4 linked regions of the Diceros bicornis minor genome follow. The protein of the gene in region 1 purifies or fractionates together with the protein of each later gene. This does not show direct contact. Links are inferred from orthologs where the notes say so. Each region holds a gene or a part of one and is shown in the gene's direction. Other genes may lie near its edges. The genes, in order: RC3H1, SERBP1, CNOT10 and YBX3.

Region 1 (7,708 bases):
TCCCTCCTTAGCCTTTCAGACCTCACATTGCTATTAAAATAGGGTTGCCAGATTTAGCAAATAAAAATACAGGATGTCCAGTTAAACTTGAATTTCATATAAACATAGAAGTTTTTTTCCAGTGTAAGTATATTCCATGCAATATTTGGGACATACTTGTACTAAAATATTGTTTATCTGAAATATAAATTCCAAGTATGTATCAGAACTATACGTTTAATTCAACCTCCTGTATTTTATCTGGTGAGCCTATCTTAAAATAAAGTTCAAAATTCCTACTTTGGCTTCCAATGCCACCCGCCTATCTCTGCAGCATCTTCTTTGCTAGGCTCCCTCTGAATCTCTGTGCTTTCTCCAGCCAAACTGGATTTCTGTTAGTTCCCTAAACGCACCACACTTCTTCCCTCCTCGGTGCAGCTACATATGCTGTTCTTTCTGCCTGAAACGTTTGCTCTCTCTCGGTCTAGCTAATTTCTACTCATCCCGTAGCTTTCAGCTTAAATGTCACTTTCTTGAGGAAGTCTTCTCTGCTCAACTCAGACTAGGTCAATTCTCACCTTCAAAATTGTGGTTATTTAACTATTTATAAGTATTCTATCTTCTCTCCTAAACTATAAGCTCCCCAGGAAGAGAATCTGTCTTGTTCCCTGCTGTATCACCATAGCACAGTGACAGGCACACAACAGGTTATCAAATATTTGTTGTGATTGTTTGTGCTAAAGTGGATGCAAATTAATTTTGTTCTGTGACTTTTATATCATCAGTTGAGAACATCTGAGACTTGATTAGATGTTGCTGAAACAAAGTTACACATCTCTGCAACAAAGAACCATAAATGAACCCTTCAATTGTGGTAGCTGAAATATTTTGGCAAAAATTTTAAAAAGAATCCTTTTTCCATGTAATTTTAGCGAGGAAGGCTTTGATTGCCCCAAATGAGATGCGTGATTCGGAAAGTTCTTGTTAGCAAAAGGAATTCAAGAAAAAAAAACACTTTGCATTTGTAATACTTTTTAGCTAAGAGAGAGATTAACATGGAGCTTTTCCCCTTGAGAAATCTGTGCAATATTAGTTTTTAATGTAGACACTAAACATTCTTGGCAGAATGAGTGAAAAATTCAAATCAAAAGCTTGAGAGGAGTGCTTATTATTTGGGAATAGTCAAATGAACTGAGTTAACAGAAGTGAAATAGATCTTAAGTTTTGAGACTCTAATGACTACGGTCCTAAAAATCAGGGCCCAAGGAAAGAAAAAATATGGATAACTCCATTAGATTGGGCAAAAGACAACGATATGAAAAATGGGAAACTGGAATATTTCTGCAATCTCTTGATTTCCTACTTGTTACACCATCTCATAGACTAATTTAAGCAGAAATGGAATTTTCTGGAAGAATATTGAGTGGCTCACAGTTTGATGTTAAGGAAAGGAATTGAGGGAAGCTAGATAGCCAGAACCACAGCTAAATTCCGTCCTGAAATTGCCTGGTAAGGGTACCACTGCCATTGCCAGAGGATGCTGGACACCATCCCAGGGATTGCTGCCATTGTCCCATCAGACTCTGGGTATCACAGGTGCAAGTAGGATGAACTCTACTTAATTCTGTGTAACTCACTTCAGATTCAAAGTCCCAACTAAGAAGGCATTTGATCCACCAAGCTTAGATCACTTTCCCACACCCTAGGATTATTGTGGGGGCAGAAGGAGGGAGAGCAGAAGGTGGAAGGCAGAAGGCAGAAGGCAAGTATCTGGACTTCCTGGCCCCTGTAGTGGCAGGAGAGATCCTGCCATCCACAAAAATTCCCAAATGGAAAATTCCCAAACAGTGTGAGGAGGGGAGGGTAAGATGCCGGGCAGCCAAAAAATTATAAATATTCATTACATATGTCTATCTTTCAGGGATATGAGGAGATATAAGAGAATCTTGCCCTATCCAACAGCTACTATTGTATCATTTCTACGATCATAGGCAGTAGGTTCCTAAATTACCAATCACTTGATTTAAACATACCCATACATACATACACACACGAACACACAAATTGATCCAGTGACTTTTCTTCTAAGCTTACTACTCCTATTGAGAAAGGGAAACATTTTTCTTTGTTCCAGGTTAAATAAAGGAAATGGTCCCAAGTGTCATTAAACTGCAACCATAACATGGCCCCTAACCTCAGAAGATAAATCTGACAGTAATGTATTTTAACGAAGAAATTATAAGAGAGAAGGCAAATTCAGCCATGTAGACAGCCATGAAGTCCTATTTAAAGGACCCCTTTTAAAAGATGCTCCCTAAACTGATGTATACCTTAAATTTACACAATGTACATGTCAAATTTATCCAATAAATAAATAAATAAAAAAGAACTTGAAGTTGTTAAAAAAAAAAGATGCTCCCTTATAGCCTCCTGCTGAAAAAAGGGAGCTGGTCTGGGGCCTTGTTCTCCTCCTTACATTGGTTCCTGAATGAGCCCTTGGGTTACTTTTATTTTATGTGATATTTGTAAATCAAGAGCATTAGGAAACTCTGCCCACCTCTGAACTCAGTTTCACATTTAGTCTTGTATAGTCATATGTTTATATGACAATTACTTATACAGGATTACTTATAAATATTATGTCTGTGCTGTTGTTTTAGATTACTAATTCCTTGGAAGGCAGAAGTCCTGTCTGTTTAATTAATTGTGTTTAACACCAAACATTGGTCATTACACGTAAAGCTTTTAATGCTGCTTTTGAACATAATAATAATAAAATACTTTCCCTGGCTATAGCAAATAAAATCTCTCTTCATATGAGACAGGGTTGACAAATAATAGTTGGAGGCCAAATCCAGCCCGCCACCATCTCTTTTTGTCTGTTTTTGTAAATAAAGTTTTATTGGAGCATAGTCATGGTCATTTGTTTACATATTGTCTATAGCTGCTCTCATGCTACGATGACAGAGTTGAGTAGTTGTGACAGAGACCGTATAGCCTGCAAAGCCTAAAATATTTACTATGTGGTCATTTACCAAAAAAGCTTGCTGACTGTTGATCTACGTCAGTAGTTCTCACCTTGGATGAGAGGATGGGATCCCCTGTAAAATCCAAAAAAAGAAAAGATCCCTAGCCCCACACCAACACCCCAAATCAGAATCTCTAGGGTCAGAGGTGGAGATATACAGCTTTTAAAAGTTCACAGCAAAATTGAGAATCACCAGCCTAATGCAACACACAGTACCTAGTATAATTTTAATAACTCTCATTTATTGAATGGCTAATAGACGTCAGGCATTGTACTAGATGCTCTAAATGTATTTTCTCATTTTAATCTCCATAAAAACCAGTTTAGATACATTTTACAATCCTTATTTTATAGTAAAGAAAATTGAAGCTTTCTAAAGTTACCTCGTGCAAGCTTACACAGCTAATAAGTGGTAGAGCAAGGGTTTGTACTAGGTCTTTCTGCCTGTCCAAGATTGGCAACAGAAGAAAAATATCCAGATGGAGAAGGGCTCTGTCTCTTATCCCTTAAGATTTGCTTTTCCTCTGGGGGAGTTGTAGGTATTTCCCACTACCAATGCTACACCACCCTGCATGAGAATGAGTGGCCTAAGTACAGTTGCAGAACTCTCCCATTGATAGAAGGTAGCACAGCTGAGAAAAGACTGGAACATTCACATAGGACTTTATTCAAACTTAGAGAATAACAAAAGGGAAATAAACTCATGGAGTAATATGAAGCTGGATATTTGTCTTCAATGAGGAGTTTACCATAGCGACATCTTCCTATCTGGTTCCTGACCTGCCTCCAAGTAGCAGAGCTCCTCTTCCATCCCTAAACTAACCTCTTGGAACATCATAAAGAACTCCAAAGACTCCCCCAAGTCCAGATCCTAGAAATTAAAGCATGGAGCAAAAAGAAGTTTCTGCTCCATCTTGCTTAAAGCACACCTTTCAAATTCTGGTTTCTTGAATGATTTATACATGAATGTCCAACTTTTTCTTAACCAGCTACTCATGATATGAGAAACCTAATATTGCCCGGAGATATTGAACATACATTTGTGCTAGAGAATATCATTTGGTTACAAAATGTATTTGACTTCAATATATCTACAATTGCTTATTTAGACAGACAGAGCTCTAAATGAGGTTCAAATCATTAGCTATATAAACAAAGGTTAATCCTTTCACATTAATCTTGAGTCTATTCACGGTCTGGTATCTGTTTTCTGGTAACTCATTGTGGTATGACTCAGATAATTTTGGTAATCAGTGTTTTTTTATTCTAGTATCCTATATGTTGTTGCTAATTTATACCCCCAAAGCATTAATATTTTATGATGCAAAGAGTAATTAGAAAAAGAAAAACTTCAGGTTTAACCAGGTAGATTTAAATTTGTACCTTCACAAAGGTGCCTTTTATTCATAAGTATGATATTCTTAAAGTGAGCATTTATTATTGTTATGGGCTGAATTGTGTCCCCTCCTCCCAAATTCACGTTACAGTCCTAACCCCCAGTACTTTAGAATGTGACTGCATTTGGAGATAGAGGTAATTAAGGTAAAATGAGGTCATATGGGTGGGCCCTAATCCAATATGCCTGGTGTCCTTATAAGAAGAGATTAGGACACAGACAGACACAGAGTGAAGGCCATGTGAAGACAGAGGGAGAAGAAGATGGCCATCTGCAAGCCAAGGAGAGACCCCTTAGAAGAAAGCAAATCTGCTGACACCTTGACCCTGGACTTCTAGCCACCAGCACTGTGAGAAAATTTCTGTTGTTTAAGCCACCCACTCTGTGATATTTGTTAGAGCAGCCTTAGCAAGCTAATACAATAATGAAAACCAACAATATTCTGGTGAGTTTTGCCAAGTGAAAAGTGGAGCTGCCTTCTCTCATGACACTGTTTAAAGTACTGCCTAGAATGGGCCTGTTTGCTGAAAGTGTCTGATGTCTCTTTCATAAAGGCCTTCTGTTTACTATAACCCTGGAATAAGTCTCAGGAGGTCAGTTGAAGTTCAGAGATGCTCAATATTGGGCTCAAGGCCTTCATGGAAGGTAGGTCAGTTCAGAAGCAATTTCAGGTAGGACCCAGAAACATCATTTTATTTAGCCCTCTTGGAATCAAGTCTACAGGGACCTAGCTCCAGAAATCCCAGAATTTGGGTTATATCTGTCATGATTACTTTGCATTGTTACCCCTTAGGCCTAGTTTGCAGATGCTGACTTGGGCCTGGTTTGGGACTGGACTATAAATGTGAAGGGTAGGTCAGAAACAATTGGTTTCCTCATATTTCCTCAGTGTAATTGCTTGGGACATCTTTCTCTGTTTCTTAGTTATTTTCTAGAGATTTATCTTAATGAACATTGGTAATAGGAGTGTGGGCTGGGAAGGGAGTAGTTTATGGAGAATCTACGTATAGGGAGAGGGGAAGGTGGGAAACATGGAGAGGATTCAATTGGCCTTCCACCTTTACTTTATCTAAAGCAGTTCAGAAAATCCAAGTGAGTCAGCTCCAGTACTCCCTATTTTGTGCATATGTTCACGTTTGAGGATGTTATTCCCTCTTCCTACATGGATGATTTACACAGGAGAGGTCTCAGGTCCCAGTTGTACTTTAACCAGGTTTTTTAGTTAATCCAAACTCTATTCTCATACCCTCCAATTTCCCATTCCTTACCCTTCCTCATCCCCACCCTGCCCTGAATTGAGAGCTGATTGTACTTCTTTGCCTCTGGGTACATATCTAATATCACACATAGTATTGCCACCTGTCAAAAGGTAGGTGCTGTGACATTAGAATGAAGATTCCTACTATTTCTTCCTTTTAACTTTCATAGATCCTTATGTTTACTATGCAATAATCACCAAGCTACTTTATATTCTAGTTGTTTATGTGCACATCTTATTGTAATCCTCCTACTAGACTGTTAAATTTCTTTAAGGAAGGGACACATGATTCATTCATCTTTGTATTTTCTCCTCCCACCCCAGCCCTTCCTGCTCGATAACTCCTTCCTCAACAGCATGATGTTTATCTATAAACACGGAGTGGGGTAGATATGCGATCTGTCCAACCTTTCTTAGTCTCTGTTTCATTTGTTGAAATAAGTGGATTGGTATCTAAGGTCTTTTCTAGCCTTAATATAACAAACGATGCTTTAGGTTGACAAATGTATGCACATTCTAGAGCAATATTTAAGCATACGGCAGCTTAAAAATTACTTAGTATAACCTAAAAAACATAGATTAGTCTCAAAAAAAAAAAGAAAATCAGAAAATACATTGAAAAAATTGATAAGTAATTATTTTAACTGATTTGTGTGTCATCTAAAAAACAGCATCAATATTTTTTTAGAGTTCATGCTAAGAGCAAAAACGTATTTGATGACTTCTTATCCTCATCTGACTGATCAAGAAACTAAAGACTATAATGACATATATAAAATGGATTTTAAAAAATCCTTCGAGTACTTACTATGGGCCATGCACTGTTCTAAGTCCTTTATGTGAAATGACTCATTTAATTTTCACAGTATATCAGTGGTGGAGGCTGGGGCAAGAGTTTAAATTTTTAGGTATTCCATATTAGAATTGAATAATAAAATACAAAAAAAAACTAAATTGTTTAAATTGTGTTAAAGCTACAAAATAGTGATTTCTAAGCACAAATGACTATAAAACATTTAAGCTGTTTGTCTTTAGTAATTCATTCTTAATGTATCTTACCTCAGGATATTCTCAAACACTGTTTCACTGGATTAATACAAATTTCACGGAATTAAAACAAATTATACTATTTTAAGAGTTTAGAAGTTTAAATATATACATATCTAAAATTTAAATTTCAAATGTCTTATTTGATCTTATTTATATTAACTCTCAACACCCTGAAAAATGTTAATATCATGTATCAATAACAATAGCAAACAATTTTAAACAGAAAAATCAGGGAAAAAATAGATGCAGTCTCAAGAGACAAATTATTCTCTGTATCTTATAGGTCTACTCAAATTGGGGAGTTCAAAGCATATAAATGACTTCTCATAGATTAGTTTTTATGTAAACACTTAGGTGTTTTTTTCAAAGCTGCTCTTCTTTTTCTGCCAAATTTTTCTTTTTAATTATATTATTAAAATGAATTTTGGGAAGCCCCTCCATTTTGAACTTATTTTTAACTGAAATATTGATGAAATAAAAATGAATGTAACTTAAAAATCATATTTTATAAGGAAACCTTGAAGGGGCTTTACCAACTGAGGTACAACTATAAATAGTTCAAAGAAATTATATTATCTAGGTTGCTTGTAATGGAGGTTGGGTTACTTGCTTCACCTAAACAGGGAAGTTGGCATGTTTGCCTAGCAACAGCCGCTAAAACCTTCTGTTGTGGAAGGTTCCCTAGGAGTGAGGAGAAGGGAGGAGGAGGAAAAGCAGGAGGAACAGCTTAGTCTGTTTTTTCTAGCAGGGGACTGAGGCCTGGCTATTTGAGGAGGGAAAGGCTATCCAAGAGATAGACTTTAGATTAGCACATGCTAACCTAACCCCTCTGTGGTAGCTAGAAATTTGCTCTTTGGAGGACTGGAGGTACTGTTTAGCAGGTTGAAGAGAAGGTTACAGATTTAGCCCACTTCAAAGGGAGTAAATTCCAGTCAATAGAAAGACATCAATAGGTCTTCTAAAAAGAAGCTGAAATCTGAGTAGCAGGAGGGTGTTA
Region 2 (7,886 bases), about 86 Mb from region 1:
AAAAGATAAATATACTGTTAGAAAATAGCAAAGGATCGAAATAGACATTCTTCAAAGATATAAAAATGGCCAATAAAAATGCTCAACATAGGGGCCGGCCCGGTGGCTCAAGCGGTTAAGTGCGCGCGCTCCACTGCGGCGGCCCGGGGTTCGCTGGTTCGGATCCCGGGCGCGCACCCACGCACTGCTTCGGCAAGCCATGCTGTGGCGGCGTCCCATATAAAGTGGAGGAGGATGGGCACAGATGTTAGCCCAGGGCCGTCTTCCTCGGCAAAAAAAAAGAGGAGGATTGGCGGATGTTAGCACAGGGCTGATCTCCTCACAAAAAAAAAAATGCTCAACATCATTAGCCATTAGGGAAATACAAATCAAAACCATAATGAGATAGCACTTTACATCCACTAGGACAGCTATAATCAAAATGGCAGACAATAACAAGCATTAGTGAGGATGTGGAGAAATTAGAACCCTCATAATCGTTGGTGGGATTGTAAAATGGTGCAGCCTCTTTGGAAAATAGTTTGGCTCCTCAAAATGTTAAGCACTGAGTTACCATATGACCCAGCAATTCCATTCCTAGATAAATATCCAAGAGAAATGAAAACGTATGTCCATACCAGCCCTGTAAACAAATATTCATAACAGCATTATTCATAATAGCCAAAAAGCAGAAATAATCCAAATGTCCGCTAACTGGTAAATGGATAAATAAAATGTAGTGTATCTGTACAACAGAATATTACTCAGCCATGAAAAGGAATGAAGTACTTGATACATGCTACAACATGGATGAACCTAGAAAACAATATGCTAAGCGAAAGAAGCCAGTCACAAAAGACCACATATTATATTATTCCATTTATATGAAATGTCTAGAATAGGCAAATCTATGACACAGAAAGTAGATTAGTGGTGGCCTAGGGCTGGGGTTGGAGGGAATGAGGAGTGACTGTTAATGGGAATGGTCTTTTTGGGGTGATAAAAAATTTTTAAAATTAGATAGAGGCGATGGTTGCACAACTCTGTAAATATACTAAAAACCTTTAAATAGTACCCTTTAGATGGGTCAATTATATGGCATGTGAATTATATCTCAATAAAGCTTTTTTTTTTCCTCTAAGAGTTCAACGTAGAAAAAAAGGGAAGGGAAGTTTAAAATCAAGAGGATGAACCTTCAAAGTAAGGTTAAGGTGGCAAAATAGAGAGTGTAATATTTCTATTTTTAGCTTTGATAGTCTAACTTTAGCAAGAACCTCGACTTGTATATTACACCTAGCATTCTATCCTCAGACATAGAGGATTTGCCCTTTCCTACACAGGTACCAGTTTTATTGCTTTTGTTTTAAAAATACATTATATATTTAGAGTACAGTAAAAATTAGAGTCTCTTATTTACATTTATGAGGTGCCTGTATCCAGTGTCCCCAAAGTGTTATAAGGGAATAACAGTTTTCTCTTGCTACAGGTGGTAGCAGCGTAAGGATGAAGGACTTTGTTCCCTGTACCGTGTCGCTCACAAGTATGATAGCAGTGTGAGACCCAACTGCCTGGACTCTTTCAGGCAGTGTGAATTTGGGAGAGGCGCTCAACCTCTATTTCCCTATCTGTAAAAGGCGGGTACAGGTCGTAATACTGTTTACTTCATAAGGTTGCTCTGAGAATTAAAGGAAATAATGCATGTAAGCTACTTAGCACAGTGTCCAGTGCATAGTAAATGCTCAAATTGTAGTAGTTGTTAGTAATTATTATAATAATATAGCAGCAGTTAGTAACAGGGAATTGAGATGATTAAGAAATGGGTAAAAACAAGTTGTAATGTGGTTGAGAATTGAGTATTAGGATCCTAAAAGCAAGTGAGGGCTGGAAGGAGGTATAATATTCTGTTTCTCGGTTTCATTATCATTAGGCGGCGACTATATTGGATATTTAATTAAGATATTTGGATAGTTTTCAGCATTTACTGCTGGAAAATTCTTTAGAGAGCTTGCTATAGATAAGGCTGTGAAGTTGCATGAGTATTTTTCAGAGAACAATATGTGAGTCAAGTGTTGCCACAGACAGCTGATATTTTAGGCTACATTTCTAATCAGTGGTATCTTATAACTTGTCCCTTTACAACTCATGCCTTTAATTTGAATAAGAGTCTGCCAAGAAGTCTTTTTTCCTCCTCCCTTGAGGTTTATTCGGCCAAGATTTTTTCTATCAAGAGTAGCAGGAATTTTTAAATATTTTTAAAGACTATTTTAATTTCTTAGGGGAAAGAAAATACTAGTGAAAATAATTACTTATAAAATAATAATTGATTGTGAGACATAAAAGAATTACCATTTTGAGCTTTATTTGTGTACTTTAAAAATGGGCTTTAAAACTTTCCTGGATTAACCAAAATTCCAGGTAAGAAGAAACAGAGAGAGGGAAGTTGAAAGTGCTTACACGTTTTTTTCCCCCTTTCCCCAAATGTTTATTCATATTTTTAGGTTATAGTAATAGGTAAATTCTCTGAGGAGCGTTAGCGACCCTCAGAAATTCACAGCCATACAATTCCCCTATGTGTAGCTTACCTTTAAATATTCTCATTGTCCTAATGCTTGGTGGTCATAAAGATCTGCTTGAGGAAACCAGGGATCTGTACATAGGATAAAAATAACTAAGGACAGGCCTGTTCCACTCCCTAGACTGTGGTAGGAGTCGGGAAGTTACTGAGTCTGTTTGTGTTTCATTTTCCTCACCTTAAAAAGACAGTACTAATACCTTTCTCACAGAGCTGATGTGGGGTAACACATGCGAAGTGCATCAAACACATAGTGAAACATCAAGTTTTAGCTCTTCATATTGTTGTGGTGGCAGTGGCCCGAAAGAGCCAGGAAGGAGAGAACTGGCAGACTCACAAAAGTGCAGATGTTAACAGCCCCTGGTAAAGAGAAAGCCCCTGGTAAAGAGAAAGGGTTGGTTCAAGCATGAGATCTTCCAAACTGCACTTGAGCTATTTTCAAAGGGGCACCAAGAGCATGGCCCAAATCTCCCTGTCTTTCAAGTCTTGGGAAGATAAACAAGAGCCAGATGTAAGGGGGTGTGTGTGTGAGAGATGGGGGTGTGTGTGGCAGGAATGAGGCAACAGAGGAATAGGTGACTTTGAGGACTGGGGGCTGCATTTAGAAACAAGAAAACCACCAAGCTTGCTGCCACATGCCTGTAATATGACTCTTATTTCCCTGTGAAGGAATTGATTTAAAATCTTCTCAGAAGTTGATAATACTACATTCAGCCATGTTATATACACTGCCTGGCATGCAATAATATTTAAATCTTATTAAATATTGAAAATTGATTAATAATTGACTGACTCCTATCAGGAGGCAGAGTCTGGATGAAGGAGTTGATGTTAATAGTGTCACAGTGGAGTTAGAAGACCGTCAACTCCCGGCACTAGCACTAGCGCTTACGGAGGTGTGAACTTGGGAAGTCATTTCACTTCTGAAATGGTTTCATCACCTGCGAAAAGGGGAGACTACCTACCTAACAAGTTGTGGTTGAGATTAAGGTTATTTATAGCACCTGGAACATAGAGACACACTTTCTGTTATATTTTGTGTTAATGGAAAAAGGTTTAAAAATGATGACATATTGAAACACTTACGGTGTTACCAAATATGCTTGAATACGCATTGACACTCTATTACCTTAACGGGCTTTAATTTTCTCAACTAACTTCAATGCTTTTAGTAACGACAATTAATTCGACAATTAATATTTTCCTCCCCTCCACTGCCCCTCAGCACACTACACACTGAGATGCTATGAAGTGTTGTTTCTTGAGCACGTTTCAGTAACACCTAATCGTTGGCTTGCCGGACACTAACGGACAACTGGATTGACTCTAGAGAGCGCTTCTCCAAACAGCGCCTCTTGGAGGCTTGCCCAGGGTCTAGTGCTGCGGCGTCAGGAGCTAACATCAATTAGAGCGCCGGTCGCGACGGGCATCTCCCGCCGGGAAAGGCGCGCAGCTCTCCCTGCGATCGTCCACTGTCTTCTGCGTTAGCTCCGCTACCCGCGTTCACGTCCGCGCGAGCGGAGGCGTCTGCCGCCTCACGTTAAACAGAAGGGCCTCGACTCAGTACTGGGGATACAGGACGGCGACCCCAGCAACTGAGCCGCTAGGGACTTGGGACAGGTCGCCCCCGCCTTGGCGAGGCCGGGGCGGCCCCCCGACCCGAGCCCCGGAAGTTTGGGAGTCTCCAGTTGTCGGATCTGGGAGTCACCCTGACCTCCGGGGAGGTGGGGAAAGTTAGCCCCGGACCGGAGGCGAGTGAGTAAAAGCAAAGACAGAACTTTCGCGGGCAAAACCCGCCGTCACGTTTCCCTGTTTCCAGCGCAGCCCGAGACGCCGCGAGTTGAAGGGCGGCGAGAGCAGGTGGCAGGACTCCGCCCACCACCGCGCTTCCCCTCCCTCGGCTCGCGTGCTCCTCTCTCTCGGCGAGTCCTGCCTCTTGGGCGCGCGCGAAGAGTGGTCGCGCCCTGCATTCTGGGAACTGTAGTCCTGGCGCTGGGAGCCGCTTTGGGAGAAGCGACGCTGGCCTACATACCCCATGGTGCCCTGCGGCGCAGGCCGCTCCCGGATGTGTGCCTGGCGCCGGAAGAGAAGACGGCCCCCCTCTCTCGGCCCGGCCATCTTGTGGGAAGAGCTGAAGCAGGCGCTCTTGGCTCGGCGCGGCCCGCTGCAATCCGTGGAGGAACGCGCCGCCGAGCCACCATCATGCCTGGGCACTTACAGGAGGGCTTCGGCTGCGTGGTCACCAACCGATTCGACCAGTTATTTGACGACGAATCGGACCCTTTCGAGGTGTTGAAAGCAGCCGAGAACAAGAAAAAAGAAGCCGGCGGGGGCGGCGTTGGGGGCCCCGGGGCCAAGAGCGCAGCTCAGGCCGCAGCCCAGACCAACTCCAACGCGGCGGGCAAACAGCTGCGGAAGGAGTCCCAGAAAGACCGCAAGAACCCGCTGCCCGCCAGCGTCGGCGTGGTTGACAAGAAGGAGGAGACGCAGCCGCCCGTGGCGCTGAAGAAAGAAGGTAGAGCTGGGTCGGAGGCGGGGAGCCGGGCAGAGGGAGGGAGCGACGGGCTCGGGCCGCCGCGTGCTCCTGGAGCCCCGCGGCCCCGGAGACCTGCCGCCGATGCCTCACGTTCCCCGGCAGAAGCCCGGTCCTGCGAGGTGCGGGGAGCGCGGTGCCCGAGCGCGGCCCCGGGCCCGGGGTCGGGAGCTGGCCGCGGGCTGCAGCCTCGGTAGTGGCGGGGCGGGCGGCGCGGGGTGCACGGCCCGTGCTGCTCGGCGTGCTGCTGGGGTTGCAGGGGGTGTCTCCTGCCATCTTGTCCCCGAGGGCGCGGAGGACCCGGTGCAGAGCTGGGGTCGGAGGCACGCCTGACTCCTCCGTGTTCGGGGCTCAGTACGGTGGAGGAGGCTGCTGCTTTAGGGCCACACGTGCTGTATTGTCCCCTCGCCCCGTCACCTGTTAGAAGCTCAGTCACTCGCGGGGGGAGCTGAGCTGTCGGGGCGGAGGGAAATGCGGCTGCAGGTGGGGCGGGAGCGGGAATTCTGAACGAAGGCTGCGGTTGCAGGAAGCCGCCCTGAGGCTGGCGCTGGGTCGTGGCCCTTGTCCCGACCCCGCACTCAGTGTGCCCCGCGGGTGGCTGGGCTCGTGGGGGGCGTGCAGAGGCTGTCAGGACGCGCGGCGCCGCACGGCTCTGGAGCCTGCAGCTCCTCCTCCACGTGTGCGGGCAGCTCGGGCAGGATTTCAGTGGCGGGTAACTGTTGCTTCCAGGTCGCTGGGCGTCACAGGATTTCGTGAGCTTGAGTTTTGCGTTCTAACTCATTACGAGTTTGTCTTTGGTGGTGGAGGAAAAAGCAAAACCGTTGGGGGTAAGAAAGCATCCGTGACAAATAGCAAGGTGCAGGACCGAAGCTCTGAGTCCTTAAAGTTGCCTTTGTACGTTGAAAGTTGAAATTACCCTCTACTGCCACGTGCTCCTGAAAGGGCTTGTTTCTCATTAGCTTTAGTTCAATTCGGTAGCATTAAACTAATTTAAAAAATCAAAACAACTGTATTTAGGCTTTGGTTTAGGATTTTTTTTTTACATATAGAAGTTTTGTGAGGCTTGGAATGAAGAACCCAGGTGGTGAATAAAATAAAAGAATTCTTGTATTAAAAATACAGGTTGGAGGGAAGCACACGCTGGAGTCTTAGAAAGCATGTGTGTGTCACTTAGGCCGAATACCTGTTCAGTCAACTAAGCTTCATAGCAACCTGTAGTACAGTTGACTAAATCATTGCGTTTCTCTGTTTAGGAGCACTGGCTTGGGTGATTATTTAAACTATGCTCAACTTTACCTCCTTAATCACGTTAATCCAAAGAAAGCACATGAAAAAGTTGAGTCTGAAGTATAAATCTAAAATGTACCAGGTAGGTGTGTTCACACGTTTTAAGGTTCAAAGCATGAAGCATAGTTTAAATCCCTCAGTTGTTTTGATCATAAAGCCCACTTTTGAAATAAGCTTTTATTTAGAAACTAGTATCTTAAGTTCCAAAAATAGAGAATTGTCTCCAGTTTATAACCAGCACTGAGTTTGTCATTCAGTAGTTTTTCTTTGGGAAAACTTGCATAATAGCTATCAACATTTTTCTTAGATTAGCCTTTCACAGCACTCTTAACCTTAAATTGTGTAAAACATAGGCTTATAAATATAGGGAAAATGTTGCATGAAAAAGACTCATTTTGAGATCCTGCTACCTGTCAGTGGAAGTTCTGGGCATTGGGGAAGGAGAGACCTGTAAACCAAGTTCCTGCCTCTTGTGGGAAGGATTGTTACCCTGATCCTGTGCTCCGTGCCTTTGAATATAGGTCCTAGCACAACGCTGGACATAGCTTCGATGTGTATTTAATGTTTGTATGAAATAGTTGTGTAGCTTGTCTTTTGTTTATTGGGAGAACTTGAGAACCGACACCACACACTTGCACTGCGAGTGTAGATCAAGTTGTTTTTTTTTCCTAATATTAAAAGCCTGGAATCTGGTGAAAATCAAGTGAGCTTGGCGGAGTATGTGTAAATAATGTTGAGAGAAGACTGCATTTTTAAATGTCAATTATTGGATGAATTTATTTAGTAAGTTTTTTAGATTCTGTAACCCTAGTATTGAATATTGGGTGGGGAAGCAAGCCCTTGTTCATTTGGGTGTGTTTGGCTTGGATATCATCATTATAAGGACTGGTTCCATAGCTCCACCCAAATACACTGTACCTCTGACGAAATTTATTAAAATGCCTTGGCGTAAGATCTGCCATCTGTGGTCTGTCCTGAGAGTTTATGTGGAACTGACCTTAAAATTTCATTGAAGAGTTGATATTTACCATTTGATTCTAGTTACAAGCAACTGAACAATTGGGTGCATCCTCATGGTGTTCCACGTCTTAGAACCAGAGTGAATCAACTTAAGATCTTGTTGTAAAACCAATTCCTCAGCTGCTTTTTGACTGTCAGAAATGGTGGTTTGGCAATTACAGCATACCTGAAATTCTAGTCATGAATTTCAATCTACTTATCCTTAAGACTACTAATAATGCATATTGGTTGCTTTTGTGGGCCTCAAACACTAAGGAAAAAAGTAATAAAGGGGGAAATCAGTAAGGTTTCAGCCATCACTTAGTGCCACAAGTTTCTATTTCTTGTGTATTGCTTAAAAGGAGTCCGTGTGTGTGTGTGTGTGTGTGTGTGTGTGTTTGTGAAGTGTCTTTGAAAACAAAGATACTTGTAAGGGCAAACCAAGAGAAAAGCTCTCCATCCATAATAGTAAAATAACTGGACTATTTTCTATTGGTTGCATAACATTTTAAGTTA
Region 3 (7,975 bases), on another chromosome or scaffold:
GTGGTAGAGGGTGGATTTAAGTGAAACAAGACTGGAAGCCAGAGACTAGCTAAGACCAGCTAATGTTGTGATATTAATTTATTCAGTAAATATTCACCAATGGCCTGCTCTGCCAGGCACTACAAACTCTCTGTCCTCAAAGAGCTTATAATGTAGTATGAAAGACAGATAAACGTATAAACAAAATAGGAAATAATTATGGGCCAACCCTGGTGGCCTAGTGGTTAAGTTGGGCACATTCTGGTTCGGCGGCCTGGTTTGGTTCCCCGGTGTGGACCTACACCACTTGTCTGTCAGTGGCCATGCTGTGGCGGTGGCTCATATACAAAAAGAGAAAGATTGGCAGCAGATATTAGCTCAGGGTGAATTTTCCTCAGCAAAAAAAGACAAATAATTATGATTTCAAGTTGTGATAAATATTGTGAAGAAAAGAAAAATGAGGAAGAGGACAGAGGATAACTGGGAGCAAGGACCCTACTTTGAATAGATTGGTTAGAGAAGGAAGGGTTTTCTTAGAGGTGACATTTGAACAGAGACGCTAAAGATAAAGAACCTGCCATGTGGGGGAAGAATGAGCCAGGTGGGAGGAACAACAAGTATACAGACCCCTTGGAAAATGTTTAAAGACAGCAAGAAGACTCCTTGAATGTAAGTGCCTTGAGGAAAGGCACTTCTGCCTTTCTTAGTCATGCTCTATCTCCAGCACCTAGAGCAATGGCTGGCATACAGGAGGCACTCAGTACATGTTTATTGCTAGTGAGCAAAGGAAGCGTGGCAAGAGATGAAGTCAGAGTTGTGGCCGGGGCCAGCTTGTGTCAGGCCTTGTAGACCGAGGAAGAAGTTTGAATTCATTCTAGTGGGAAGCCACAGAGGTTTCAACAAGGGCATGATGTGATCTGATTTATGTTTTAACTGAGCTAGATGAGAATTGATGAAGAGTTAGGAGCATGAGGTTTGAAATCAGACAGCTGGGTTCATCCTAGCTGTACCACTTGATATTGGTGTGACCTTGGGCAAGTTTTAAGAACACTTAAGCCTCAGCTTTCCTGTGTGTAGAATGAGAATGATAATAGTATCTACCTCACAGGGTTGGTAAAGAGTTAAATGAGATCATCTCAGGCCCTGATTTTTGAAATGCTGGCTAGTATTACTTTAGAGTAGTGGTAGAATGGAGAGGAGAGGCAGATGTGAGAAATGTTTAGGGTGTAAAATTGGCAGAATTTGTGACTGCTTAGGTATAGTAAGTGAGCAGAAAGCCTTGCTCTTTGGGAAAAGTTCTTAATTGAGCCTCAGTTTCTTCATTTGTAAAGTGGGGATTCTACTGGTTTTTTATTTATTTCTAATAGCTTTCTAATTTATTTACCTCACAGGGCTGTAGCTTGTGAGCATCAGCTGAGGTAATGTGTACCTTTTAGCTCATATCCTTGTGGAAGCAGAACCCGATTAAGTGGCTGACTTTTTATTTGGGAGCTGCAAGCCCAGGGTAGTGAAAATGAGGGAGAGAAGGAAGGTAAGGCAAAGGAAGATGCAGTACATTACATCCCTGGCAACTGTTTCACCTTGAGCTAAGAGACATAGCAGGTCACTTGCGTATGGGACTTTTCTGAAAGGGTTTCGAGGCAAAACTACACTTCAGAGTAGTCCATATGAGAAAGAAAGAAGGGATTATTTATCTGTCCAGCTTCCTCTCATTTCCTGTTTCCAGACCGTCAAGGCTTCACCCCATGGGGAACTAATTTACCTGTGCTTCTGAGTTGTGTGGCTTCTCAGTGACTGATCAGCCAGCAGTTCTCACACCCTGAGTTGTATTTCAAGCAACCCATAAAGGGAGGGATGTCCCAGGGTGGATGGAACACCACCCAAAGACAGAAATTGAAGGGGCAGTGGAAGGTTCACAAGGTTCATGTCCTTGTATAAAATATAAAAGTCGTGTGAAACCAGTATCATTTTTGACTAAGGAAGTACCAACAATGTTTTAGGATGATTTGTTTGACTTTACTTTTTATGGTTATTTGAAAGGAGAAAGTGGCTGGAGTTAGGACACAAAATCCTAGATTTGAATTTATCTGAGAATTTGGACTATGAGCATGGCCGTAGTAGGCTTAATAGGAAAAGGTTGATAACATTATGAATAAGGGAAAGATAGGACCTGATGAGTAATATGAAATCAGGGGAGGGTTACTTAAAGATGGCTTTGGGGGCCAGCCCCGTGGCTTAGTGATTAAGTGCGCGGGCTCCGCTACTGGTGGCCTGGGTTCGGAACCCCGGGCGCGCACCAACCACCGCTTGTCCGGCCATGCTGAGGCTGCATCCCACATACAGCAACTAGAAGGATGTGCAACTATGACATACAACTATCTACTGGGGTTTTGGGGAAAAACAAAAAGGAGGAGGATTGGCAATAGATGTTAGCTCAGAGCTGGTCTTCCTCAGCAAAGAGAGGAGGATTAGCATGGATGTTAGCTCAGGGCTGATCTTCCTCACAAAAAAAAAAAAAAAAGATGGCTTTGAAATTTTGAGCCAGGATGACCATAAAAATGGTAGGAAGTACAAATGAGAAAGTTTTAAGCCAAGGCTATTTTTATTTTATTTAAAACACCCAAAACTGATTATTATTATTAAGTGTATACGGTAAAAAGTATTAAGTCCTCTATCACCCCTACCCAGTCTCACTCTCTAGGTAACCAGTACTGAATTGTGTGTTCTTCTAGACTTCTTCTAGGCCTACCCAAGCTCACATTGACTTAAAAATGTATATGTGCAGATGAGGAAATAAACTATGCAATACTGTCCTGCCATCCACTTTTCTCAGGGTCTGGTTAGGAATCTATGCATATTTGATATTTTTTCAACTTTTTATTGCAAATGATTTCAGACATCCAAAAAATTGAAAAAATAAAAGGAATATCCATATACCCACCACCTAGATCAACAGTTGTTACATTTTGTCATATTTACTTCCTCTGTCTCTAGCTACAGCTTTTCTAAATAAATTATAGACATCATGACACTTTATCTCTAAATATTTCACCATGCATTTCTTAAAAATTAGGACATTCACCTATAACCACAATACCATTATTGTACTTCAGAAGATTAATATTTTTATACTATATTGAATATCTCCAGTTGTCCCAAAAATGTTATTTAAAGCTGTAAGGAAGCTGTGCTTTTCAAACTGAGATCCAGTCAAGGTTCATACATTGTATTTTGTTATGTTTCTTGAGTCTCTTAATTCCCAGTGTCACCTGGTTTTTTTTTGAAGAGACTAAGTCACTTCTCTTGTAGAATATCCCACTGGATTCATCTGATTATTTCTTCCTTGTATCCTTTAATTAGTTCCTTATTTCCTGTATTTTCTGTGAACTGAAAGTTGTTTCTAAGGGCCTGATTAGATTTAACATATTTGCAAGATACTTTGTAGCTGTTGCTGTATACTTTATATAAAAAGTGCATAATGTCAGTTTGTCCACTATTAGTGATGCTAAATTTGATCAGTTTGTTAAGGTGGTGAGAGGAACATCTTTTTCCATTTGCAATTAGAAGTAATCTGTGGGGTAATTGGCATTATGTAAGCATTCCAACATTGATGATCATTGCCTTAATCAGTTATGTCTTTGAGAGTTGCAGAATGGTACTTCTCTTAGTTCTATTACTGTCTACGTTTATTAGCTAGTTTCTGTAAAGAATAGCTGTCCCTTATCAACTGGGAATGAACTGTGATTCTTCCCAGAAAGGCGTGTTAAAACTTAATTCATCCTTTTCATTTACTAGTTTTCACAATAAAAAGTTGATGTAATAGTGACCCACATTTGATATTTTAAGTGTTTTTAATGTTTAAGAATTGAGAGTAATTTATTGGTCTTTTGATTCTAATTTGAAATGTATAATTGAGTGAATAATTGATTTATACTTGTGAACTTAAGTTAAAAGCTTGCTATATTGATATCATTGCATAGACATTAAAGAGTTCCTGAGTCACTATTTTCATCAGTTTAATTTTTTAGATTTATAAATTACTTAAGTTCTCAGAAAATTTTGTCTTTTTAGATCAAACAGTTGTACTTAAAATTAAATATATTATTTAAAGCAGTTAAAATTATATGTTTGAAGGTGTTTAACTTTGTAAATGAGATCAAACATTCATTGCAGCCCTTTAAAATTAAAACTCCAAATAGAATAAGATGTCTAAGTTGAATGTAAAAGTTTGAGGAAAATCTAGGCTTTTTGAATTTGTAACAATAAATCAAGTATTAATATTTGAAAACTAGAGTAAATCTCTTTTCTATGCATAAAAACTACTCTCAGATATGAAAATAAAAATACTCATGGGCAGTGGTAGTGTCCTGCTTTGCCTGTCTTCCCCAAAGCATGCTGATATTCTTGATTTTTGATATTCTTTTCCTTTATTTTTGTAGTGCTGGACAGGGTGCTCAAGTCTGTAGCATTGCTGGTCACGTGTTATTTCTCTGAGCTGTGTAGAAATTAGCCATTTTATGTAGGGTTTTGATCAAGTCAAATAAACTTGTTCAGTGGTAGAAAACCATGTGGGTGAAGCTTAGGTGTGTGAACCTTAGCTATATGGTGACTTTGGTGCTTTATTTTTCTTGGAAATGGCGTCCTTCTTTTTTTAAACTTTCCTTCATAAAGACATTAGTACTGTTTTGTGAGTGTGGCAGATCTCCTTAGGCCTTAACATTCCTTTTTTCTTTGGAAAAAACTTCTTTTCTTGAACGTCGTTGGAGCTATATTTTGACAAGCGTAGCTTATATGGAAGACCTTCCTCCAATCAGATTTGCATTGTTAACATTCTATATTGGAATGTGTCTGTGCTTTCGGTTAACTGACGTTTTTCAGTTTTGAAAAAGCAGTGTGTTTCTTTTCTACTTAGTTCAAACCTAAAGGCAGTTGTTTGGTTCGAAATGAAGCCTTTTAGCTTAAAGAGTGTCAAGGTTTGTGCACCAAAGAGCTCTGTACGCCTAGAAGGTCAGTCATGTTCATTAGGCCAGAGCAGAAGGAAAGTCAAGCTTATGGATGAATGCTCACATACTCTTTCAATTGGCAATGGAGACTACTTTTGGACAAATAAAGACACGTTGTGGGATTATGTGCAGACTCTTTCTGGTAAGAAGTCAGCAGTTACTAAAAATGTATGTTTTTAAAACATTTTAAAAACTGATTACAAAAATAATACCCATTCTTTGCAGAAAACTTGAGAAGTGTAGACAGATAAAGAAAATAAAAATAGTAATCCCATTGGAGTTTTTTTTTTTTTAAAGCTTCTCTTGATGTAAAAGAACATAGGTAAAATAATGGTTGGTTAACATGTAAAAGGCTGTTTATTGAGCTCAGTTCTCTGAAATGTCTATAGAAAAGGGAACTTCAGAGTCTCTTGTCAGCCTTAGAGTCTAGCTTGCTTATTTATTTATTTATTTATTTATTTATTTATTTATTTATATTTGTCTTGGCTTCTCTCCTTTCCTGGAAGATTGTAGGAGACTTTTACTGTTCCTAGAGGATAACAATGGAAAGGAGAAGCTTAAACTCTTTAATGCCTTGCTGAATTGTTGGGTGTTTCCCTCTACCTTGTATTTAAATCACTGTTTGACAGTTGGGCCCAGAAGTCCCATTAAAGAATGTCATCTAATCTAGAGAGGGTATATTTTAAAAAAAGCTATGGAGATATCTTGATGGCAAACTAACAATTTTTGGTATTTGGTTTAAGTTTAGTGTACTTCCTTATGAGGGAAGATAAATTTTGTAAACACTTTAGGTTTCCTAAAATTTTTTTTTTTTTGGTGAGGAAGATTCACTCTGAGCTAACATCTGTTGCCAGTCTTCCGCTTTTTGCTTGACAAAGATTAGCCCTGAGCTAACATCTCTGCCAGTCTTCCTCTACTTTGTATGTGGATCACTGCCACAGCATGGCTGATGAATGGTGTAGGTCTGCACCTGAGATCCAAAGCCACGAACCCGGGCCGCCGAAGCAGAATGCACCAGACTTAACCAATATGCCAAGGCCCAGTCTCTGCTAAAATTTTTAAAGTATTATGTTCATTGTTAAAATTTTATGATGAATAATATACATGGAATTGAGAGTTCTGCTTCAGTATAAACCCATACTTTGCTTTCTGGGGTCCTGAAATCTGGTGTCCTGTTTTTACACATTTTAAAGTAACTGGTCATACCTAATACATAGACACAAGCACAGGGAAAGAGGCAAAATGAGGAGGCAAAGGTATACATTCCAAGTAAGGGAACAGGACAAAACCTCAGAAAAGGAACTAAGTGAAACAGAAATGAGCAACCTACCTGACAGAGAGTTCAAACAAAGAGTGTTAAGGATGCTCACTGATCTGGGGAGAAGAACAGATGAACTCAGTGAGAATGTCAACAAAGAAATGGAAGATATAAAAAAGAACCAATCAGAAATGAAGAATACAATACTGGAAATGAAAAATTCACTAGAGGGACTCAAAAGCAGAGTAGAGGATACAGAAGAACGGATCTGTGAGCTGGACGAAAGACTAGAAGAAATTACCCAAGCTGAACAGGTAAAAGAGAAAAGAATTAAAAAGAGTGAGGACAGTCTAAGGGACCTATGGGACAACATCAAGCGCACTAACATCCGTGTTATAGGTGTCCCGGAAGGAGAAGAGCGAGACAAAGGGGCAGAGAATCTATTTCAAGAAATAATAGATGAGAACTTCCCTAACCTAAGGAAGGAAACAGACATCCAGGTACAGGAAGCACAGAGAGCCCCAATCAAGATAAACCCAAAGAGGCCCACACCAAGGCACATCATAATCAAAATGTCCAGAATTAAAGAGAGAATCCTAAAAGCCGCAAGAGAAAGACAAGTTACATACAAAGGAAACCCCATAAGGCTATCAGCTGACTTCTCGACAGAAAGCCTACAGGCTAGAAGAGAGTGGCACGATATATTTAAAGTGCTAAAAGGAAAAAACTTACAGCCAAGAATACTCTACCCAGCAAGGTTATCATTCAAAATGGAAGGAGAGATCAAAAATTTCCCAGACAAGCAAAAATTAAAGGAGTTTGTCACCAAGAAACCAGTGCTACAAGAAATGTTAAAGGGACTGATTTAAGGGGAAAAGAAAAGACCACAAATAGGAAAAATTCTCTATTTCCATGATAAGAGGGTAATGGATACAAATGCACAAAAAAGAGGTTTTTTGATATCAAAAACATAAAATGAGGGAGGAAGGGAGTTAAAGAGTGGAGCTTTCAGACAGAGGTCAAACTAAAGAGACCATCAATTCTGTATGGAAGGAGCAAGGAACAGAGAAAGACTACTAAAACACTGAGAAAAAAAAAGTTAAAAAATGGCAGTAAGTACATACTTATCAATAGCCACTTTAAACGTCTATGGACTAAATGCTCCAATTAAAAGGCACAGGGTGGCTGATTGGATAAAACAACAAGACCCATATATATGCTGCATACAAGAGGCACACTTCAGACCTAAAGACACTCACAAACTGAAAGTGAAGGGATGGAAAAAGATACTCCATGCAAATGGCAATGAAAAGAAAGCTGGGGTAGCAGTACTCATATCAGACAAAATAGACTTTAAAACAAAAACTTTAATAAGAGGCAAGGGCATTACATAATGATCAAGGGAACAATCCAACAAGAGGATATAACACTCGTAAATATCTACGCATCCAATGTAGGTGCCCCTAAATATATAAAGCAATTATTAACAGACGTAAAAAGAGAAATAGACAGTAACACGATAATAGTAGGGGACTTGAACACTCCACTTACACCAACAGATAGATCACCAAACAGAAGATCAATAAGGAAACATTGGCCTTAAATGACACACTAGAACAGATGGACCTAGTAGATATATACAGAGCATTCCATCCAAAAACCGAAGAATACACGTTCTTTTCAAATGCACATAGAACGTTCTCCAGGATTGATCACATATTAGGCCACAAAACAA
Region 4 (7,484 bases), on another chromosome or scaffold:
GGTTAAGTCACAGAGAATCCCCCACTCTACTCTTAGTTCTCTTAATGCAAAGGAAGAAAGCCAATAATATATCTCCACTTTGGTATGGTGATGTGAAAGTTAAAGGAGAGTGTATGTCTGCAAAGGCAGCAGTGGCATGGAATGGATATTGTAAATTAACTTTATTTGCATATTCTAGAACTTATCAGTGACACCATCAAATACAGTTATCCAGAATTTTGGAATTATGATTCATGCCAATTCTTTGGATATTATATGTCATAGGGAAGCTCAAGCAAGCCTAACAGGTAGCATCATCTTGATGAGTTACCACAGACTGATGTGGTCCAGATTGCAGGGCCAAGACTTTTTCACAATGGGCTTCTGGAGAATTATTCAGGCTAAATTCCTAGTTGTCTACAAGACTTGTACAAGTCAATATGGTAGCCACTAACCGCACTGAGCACTTTAAAGTGGCAAGTCCAAATAGAGATGTTCTATAAGTTTAAAATACACACCAGAGTTTGAAGACAGTACCAAAAGAAAAAGAAAAAAAGGAATATAAAATATATCATTAATAATTTTTTTATTGATTCAATGTTGAAACGATAATATATATTTTGGATATATTGGGTTAAGTAAAATGTATTAAAATTAATTTCCTCGGTTTCTTTTTACTTGTTTATTCTGGCTGCCAGAAATTTTAAAATTATATATGTGGCTCATATTTGGGGCTCAAATTATATTTCAATTGGACAGTGCTGGTCTATACCATAAGCTCCTTGACTACAGGGGCCGTTCTGGTCTTGATTTGCATGATATCCTTAGCACCTAATGTGAATAATCAATAAATATGTTGAATGCATTATTAGTGAATGCCAAACAGAGACTTATAATTAGGGTAACTTCTCCCCTGAACATTGCTGGTGACCATGAAAAACCTTTGCTCTCTTATTCCTCTACTTTTCTACTTTTTTATTCCAAACTGAACATTTCCCTTCTGCGTTGTTTTAGCATCCATTAGGTTCAGATTAATACTTCACTGTTTCCCAGCATTACCAGATACGCTAATATATCAATGCTTCCATGTCTTAAGGCTCTAGTCCTTTGAATGGTTTCAACTCTCCTTAATCTCCTTAGCCAGTTGCATTTTCTGCTTTAGGGTGATATGCTGGATAGTCTCTTATCAACTCAACATCATCCTTAGCCTCTTCAAAGGCAGGAACTACATTTCCCAGAATCTCCTTTCCTGTATGGTTCCAGGTTGGAACCTGTCAATGAGAGGCACTAGTTCAAGGTTTAGAAGGCAGAAGAGAGAATACCATTGTTTTCCAGAGTCAGTTACAGGAAGATGCGTGGGCAGATAGAGGTTCAAAGTTGCTTCCAGATAAACTTCTTGAGGAACTCCAGCATCTATGTTGCCAACCATAATAGCTAGTGTGGGGTGAACTCATGGTGAAGCTAAGGAAGTTTAAGATGAAGGGCTCTTTTCTCACATGAGCCCTTTCTAAGACTCTGGGTGTGCCTTCAGCAATTTTATGTTCAAAATTTTATTTGTTTTTTCTTGGAGAGAGCTCTCTAAATTGCATAAACTGTAAGTCTCACAATACCTGGCTCTACCCCTGAATGGTAGAGAGCTTCCCAGAGATCTTATGATTCCAGTGGCTTCAGGAGAGCTCCTGAGAACCATCGACTTTGGGGCTGGAGTCCGAGATCTTCAGTGAAGCCTCTCTTTCTCCCCTCCAGCTCTTCCAACAGTTGTGGAAGCTCTAACTCCCTTCATACTAAGAACAGTGTAGCTTTTATTTCCATGACCAAATTGGTCATTGCTTAAAAATGATTGCCATGAACAATTAGATTATGATTCTTTTTTTTCTTCCACTTAATCTCAAATTTAAGAAATGAGATTTTCTTACAATAGAAATGATAGTGAAAAAAATGATTTAACATCACAGGAAAAAAACCTCAGAGCAAGCTCCATTTTGACCAACATTGGATAATCATAATGTAGCACTTTATCTGCCTTATAGTGTGTGCTTAGTAAATAACTGCTAATGAGTGAGTGCATGAATTAATGAGTGAGTGAAGGAATGGAAGACTTTATTTGCATCTGTATCCAAGTTGCTCTGTACTCATATTATTAAAACATAGATCATGGTTGTTTTAATTAATTCTCTCTAGATTTATTTAGCACAATACCAAGGACTTGCAACTGCTTGCTGCTTTTTTTGGATGAAAATGATGAGTAGTTTTGGGAGCCATTCCAGCACAAAATTCTAGGAAATCCGAAGATACATCTGTAACTATTTTAGGGTCTTCCAGAGGTTGGAGATCACACCTGCTGTTATGAATTGTTTTCCAAGGGTGGATATACATATATATATATATATATATATATATATATATTTTTTTTTTTTTTTTTTTTTAAAGGGCTGGACTATTAGATTGGAGTTTGAAGAGTTCAAGTCCTCTTTTTTTTTCTTGGAATCCAATTCTGCATGATAAATAGCAATAATAATCATTTTGTTTGTTAAAGTCAATGGCCAATCCTCACCAAAATAAATCATGCTTATAATTTAATTGTAAGACTATAACCTTTAAAAATTAAGAAACAATTTAATCATGCTTCGAATTAGACCAGCATTTTTTAAACACACACATATAGTTAACATTACTGTACGCTCTGTATTGAAGTCAAACTAAAATATGAATGTAACATTTAGATGTTTGTAATTTTTAAAATATAGATGAATTACATGGAAAAGTCAAAAATTCTGTATTTTGCCATTTTTTTCTAAGAATTTCTTTTCTCTTTTTTTTTTTTTTTTTGCTGAGAAAGATTCACCCTGAGCTAACATCTGTTCCCAATCTTCCTTTTTTTTTCCCTCCCCAAAGCCCCAGTACATAGTTGTATATTCTAGCTGTAAGTCCTTCTAGCTCTTCTACATGAGGCATCACCATAGCATGGCTACTGACAGACAGGTGGTGTGGTTCTACCAGTGGAAACCAGGCATGGCCACCAAAGCGGAGCACCAAACTTTAACTACTAGGTTATCAGCACTGGCTCAGAATTTATTTTCTTTAATTTGTATTTTTCATGGATGGAATAAGAAAGTAATAAGACAGGATAGTTTCATAATTATTGATAATGAATGTGTTGATAAGTAATGGAGTTTGGAGAGGTCTTCTTGTTTGCTTGTTTTCATTGATAAACATTTCCTGTGTTCTAGCTCTATGCTAGGTACTGTGCTAACCAGGGCGGATACAATGATGAATTACACTTGATAGCTACCTTCTTGATGCAGTCACATAACAGACAATTCCAGGAAAAAAAATAGGTAAATGGTATAGTAGAATAGGTAATGAAAAAAAGGATCTTTTGTTAGACCAGACACTGCAGTTACATATAATAATCTCATCTACTTTCCATAGCACCTTTCAGAAACTCTCATAGACGAGGAAACCTACTCTGGGACGTAGTATTCCTAGCCCAACTTAACGAAGAGCAGCACTAGAATTTATACCTAGGTCTGTCTGGACCCTAGAGGCGAACACCAAATAGTCCTGTATTCCAGGAGTTCTTGGCTACCGGTCACAGTCCCTCTGGCCATGTGTTTAGCATAATCCAGTCCATTCTCTAAAGGCCATGTGGGCTCTTCAAATGGGAAAACGTTTATAGGGTGATCGTTTCTCTGTATTTCTCATTCCTGAGGCTAAGAGGGCTCCGTTGCTTAAGCCTTCACCAGCTGGCAGAGGCAATTGCAGCAGAAGGTAGGATGTGGATTTATTCGGGTTTGTTTCAGTATCAAATACATATTAACAGCTCATTATTTGCTGCTGTTAAATTGGTGTAAACTCTTTTTACATGAGTTCTCCGAGGTTTGGACCTCAATTCCTCATCTGTGGGTTATAGACTAAATAATCCGTAAACTATCTTTCAGGAGTAAGCCAAATAGTCGTAAGATCTTAACTGCTGTATCACAGTTTCTGGTGCTTCATACATGTTGAATGAATAAATACAAAGGATTTAAACACAAGTGTTTGGGAGGGAGAAGCGCAGCGAAATTTGGATGCCCTATTTTACCTCTCCTAAAGGTCAGTTTCTGATGTCAAGATGTCGTGAGGAGGGAGAGCCCCTCTGCCCCGCTCCAACAAAGGGACAGCAGCGCTAGCTCAGAAAACTCCAGATCACAATGCAAACCTCAGATGCACCCTTGCTTTCCCTGACTCGCCAACTCGGCCCCTGCGCCCCAGTCCCGGGCGGCCTGGTGGGTGGGAAAGGGCATCAGGCGCCTTTAAATGCTAATGAAGCCGATGCCCAACTCGGGAGCCAACTTTCTCCACCCTCTTCCCTCGCCCGCCCTTCCCTCCCGGGCCGGTGCGCCGCCTAGAAAAACTTGTGCGGGGCCATTTTTGGGGCAGTAAGATCGAGCGAGGAGCCCAAGAGCGAGCGCGCAGCCCCAGAGCTCGAGCCGCCTCCGCCGCGAGACCCACCTCGGCCGCCGCCTGCGCCGCGCGATCCGCGCCGGCCTCCCCGAGAGCGAGCCCCGGCCGCCGCGACCACCAGCCGCGCTAACCGCCGACCAACCGCCACCAAGGCGCCCGAGTGAGAGCAGACGAGGCGGCATGAGCGAGGCGGGCGAGGCCACCACCACCACCCTCCCGCAGGCTCCGGCGGAGGCGGCCCCCGCGGCCCCCCAGGACCCCGCGCCCAAGAGCCCGGTGGGCAGCGGCGCGCCCCAGGCCGCGGCCCCGGCGCCCGCCGCCCTGGTCGCAGGAAACCCCGGCGGGGACGCGGCCCCCGCCGCCACGGGCACCGCGGCCCCCGCCTCTTCGGCCCCCGCCGGCAGTGAGGACGCGGAGAAAAAAGTTCTCGGTGAGTCAGGCCTGGGAAGGTAGGGGCTGCTGCGAGCGGGGCGGGCTGCAGCCGGCCGCCGAGCGCGTGTGGGCAGCCCCCGCTGCATTTCCCACGGGGGCGGGCCAGCTGACAGTGCGGGGTCCCCGGGGACCTCGGGTCCCCGGCGCCGTGGCCGCAGCCCGCCCGTCCTGCAGGCGCTCCCAGGTGAGCGCGCGGCGCCCTGCGCTCCTCGCCGTCCGGGGCGCGTCCCGCCTGGGCCTGGGCCTGGCCCGGCAAGTTGGGGGTCTTAACTGTGGTCACTTAGGCAGGCAGTGTCGCACATTCCCTTGTAGAGAATGCCTCTGTCCCTCTGTCTGAAGGGGAAAGGAGCGGCAGTCTGGGAGAGGGGACCCAGGGGAGGGATGGATGTGGATGTAGGGGAGGGACAGACACGTGGGACAGGGACTTTGGAGTCCTTGGTTAGGATTTGGGTGAGGAGAGGATTTCTTTTGGGGACGAGTCAGGCCCAAAAGGAGACGGGGAGGGAAAGGTGGAAAGGCTTCTTGCTGGGAGGGCTCAGGTGTCTGTCCCTGACGCCCTTCCCACATGGGCATGGGAAAGACGCCATGCTTCTGTCTGCCACATGCCGGCAAAGAGGTGTTGCAATCCTCTCTGGGAAACTTGGGTCTCGGTCCCACGTCCTCCTCCCTCTCTGTATCCACTGCTGGCGCAGAGAAGCATTCAGTGTAGCAATCGCTACACGTTTTCTTCTCCCTAAACTGTGGGAACGCACTTGGTGGAGCAGCTGAAAAAACTTGGGAGTGTGGGTGTGACGTTTGTTCAAAACATCGTTATCTTGGGACTTGTAACTTAGGAAAGGAAACAGGAAGATGAGAAGTTCAGGTTTTGGAGGCAGAGCATTAGAAAGGGTTTCTGTGGTCGTTTGGGTTTGTCACATTTTTCAGCGGTCTCTCCTTAAGTAACGTCCTTTGTGAGGCCTTGAGGCTTACAAAGCAGGTGGGTGGTGAATAAGCTCTCTGAAGAATGTGTGTATCAGTTTTTCTCTTTTAAACAGGAAAGTTAAGAGAATGGTGCTGGATACTCCAGAGAAAGTCTCAGTATTTTGGGTGGGTTGTATTCCATCTCTCTGATCCTTACCTGCCCAAGTTTCTAGAAGGAAAATTGAGAGAATAATGTGAAGGAGGTTTAATACTATTCCATGTTCCCCACCTGGACAGGCCTGTTTTGTTTTTCCAGGGCTTTTACTCAGTTACTGCCAAATAATATGTTAGATGTAACCTGTGTGGGTTAAGAAACAATGTAGCCCTCATTTTGCTGGACTAAAAATCGCTTAAATCTACTCAGTATTTGTATTGCGATGTTGTTTCCAACAAGTGTTTCTTGGAACACTTCCATGCAAAATGCCTGATAGAGACAATTTTGGGTTATCCAGCATAGTGTTAACATATGCTCTTAGCAATAATTTATTTTTGTATAAAGGAAATTTTGCAGTTTTTCACTTGATCCTTTTACCCTTCTGGATCTAAACTAAACTTCTGGATTTTAAACTAAAGCAGATGTTCTTAAAGATGAAAGAAACAGATAAAGTTCATTTCCTCAACCACCAACTGTTATTAAGCCTCTACCACATCCCTGGTGATGAGTCTGGAGGTCTTTCATCTTTCCACAGTAACTCCGACTCTCAAAATGAAGGGCAGCCTTCTACATGACATTTCAACACTGTCTCTGTCCAGTGTGTTCTGCCATCTCCTTTCCTTTGCCAGACAAACACACGGGTGCCTAAAATGTGCCAGGCACAGGGCTGACTGAGATGGAATTCTGGTTTTGGATTCTCCCGTTACAAACTGTCTTGAACTTTCCCATAGGCCAGGGAAAGTAGTTTACCTGAGTGAAACAAAACTTTCCTTCTAATGAACATTGTGGAAGCCTTATGGTCTTCCTCTGTTCCCCTTTCCCCTGTTGTGTATGTGAAATGAGTTTGTGGTTTTAAAGCAGGAAGTGTGCATAAATGTGTTTGGCTATCTGAAGTCAATGGAAATATTTGTAGAATTAGGAAATTTTTTAAAACTACATTGGGGAGTAAAAATAACCTTCAGCCTGGATTGAAGTTAAACTTGAAAATCATTTTTCATCTTTTTTCCTGTTATATTAGATTTGCCTTTCTAATCAAGATTATTCCTTTGACAGTGCTAGACATTAACTGTATGAAAATGAGTTGAAAACAGTTCCTATCCTTGTATTTTCCTAGGTCATTAATTTTGGGGCATATGAAAGGAGGCGCAAAAAGCATGTCTTTTGAAATAATGTGTGACTTAAAAGCATATGATTTATCAAAAACAGGCCTCTTCTGTTGACATTTTAATCTAAAACATAAAATGTTTTTTCTCCTTTGCCCTGCTGCTCTAATTAGAGTGGCCTAGAAGTGAAGATTCCAGTGGTTTAATCTCTTGATTGGAGAGACCTTCCTTCCTTGGAAATAGAGCTGCAGATTGCTCAGTCAATGGTGGACTGAATGACTGTGGGGGCATAAAGAGTTGTTTGTTTGTTTTCTTTTTACAAAGAGAGCTAAAATACTTTCTGAAGCGTATCAGTCTAGCAAAACTCAGAAGTAAGCCTGCCCACAACAAAGCAATTCCTAATTACTATT

The links.
Region 2: the proteins of RC3H1 (region 1) and SERBP1 purify together in Homo sapiens (affinity purification with mass spectrometry, with the first as the bait; 3 studies listed by BioGRID). This does not show direct contact. The link is inferred for Diceros bicornis minor from reciprocal best matches to the Homo sapiens genes RC3H1 and SERBP1.
Region 3: the proteins of RC3H1 (region 1) and CNOT10 purify together in Homo sapiens (affinity purification with mass spectrometry, with the first as the bait; 3 studies listed by BioGRID). This does not show direct contact. The link is inferred for Diceros bicornis minor from reciprocal best matches to the Homo sapiens genes RC3H1 and CNOT10.
Region 4: the proteins of RC3H1 (region 1) and YBX3 purify together in Homo sapiens (affinity purification with mass spectrometry, with the first as the bait; 3 studies listed by BioGRID). This does not show direct contact. The link is inferred for Diceros bicornis minor from reciprocal best matches to the Homo sapiens genes RC3H1 and YBX3.

What each region holds. Positions count from the first base shown.
Region 1 is NC_080743.1:92,298,878-92,306,585, forward strand, and holds the start of RC3H1 (roquin-1), read left to right. Parts: upstream 1-4,666; 5' UTR 4,667-4,752; intron 4,753-7,708. UniProt on the Homo sapiens protein: Post-transcriptional repressor of mRNAs containing a conserved stem loop motif, called constitutive decay element (CDE), which is often located in the 3'-UTR, as in HMGXB3, ICOS, IER3, NFKBID, NFKBIZ, PPP1R10, TNF, TNFRSF4 and in many more mRNAs.
Region 2 is NC_080743.1:6,260,520-6,268,405, reverse strand, and holds the start of SERBP1 (SERPINE1 mRNA-binding protein 1), read left to right. Parts: upstream 1-4,666; 5' UTR 4,667-4,753; coding exon 4,754-5,066; intron 5,067-7,886. UniProt on the Homo sapiens protein: Ribosome-binding protein that promotes ribosome hibernation, a process during which ribosomes are stabilized in an inactive state and preserved from proteasomal degradation.
Region 3 is NC_080741.1:36,557,111-36,565,085, forward strand, and holds the start of CNOT10 (CCR4-NOT transcription complex subunit 10), read left to right. Parts: upstream 1-4,907; 5' UTR 4,908-4,922; coding exon 4,923-5,124; intron 5,125-7,975. UniProt on the Homo sapiens protein: Component of the CCR4-NOT complex which is one of the major cellular mRNA deadenylases and is linked to various cellular processes including bulk mRNA degradation, miRNA-mediated repression, translational repression during translational initiation and general transcription regulation.
Region 4 is NC_080756.1:50,253,729-50,261,212, forward strand, and holds the start of YBX3 (Y-box-binding protein 3), read left to right. Parts: upstream 1-4,361; 5' UTR 4,362-4,605; coding exon 4,606-4,855; intron 4,856-7,484. UniProt on the Homo sapiens protein: Binds to the GM-CSF promoter. Seems to act as a repressor. Also binds to full-length mRNA and to short RNA sequences containing the consensus site 5'-UCCAUCA-3'. May have a role in translation repression.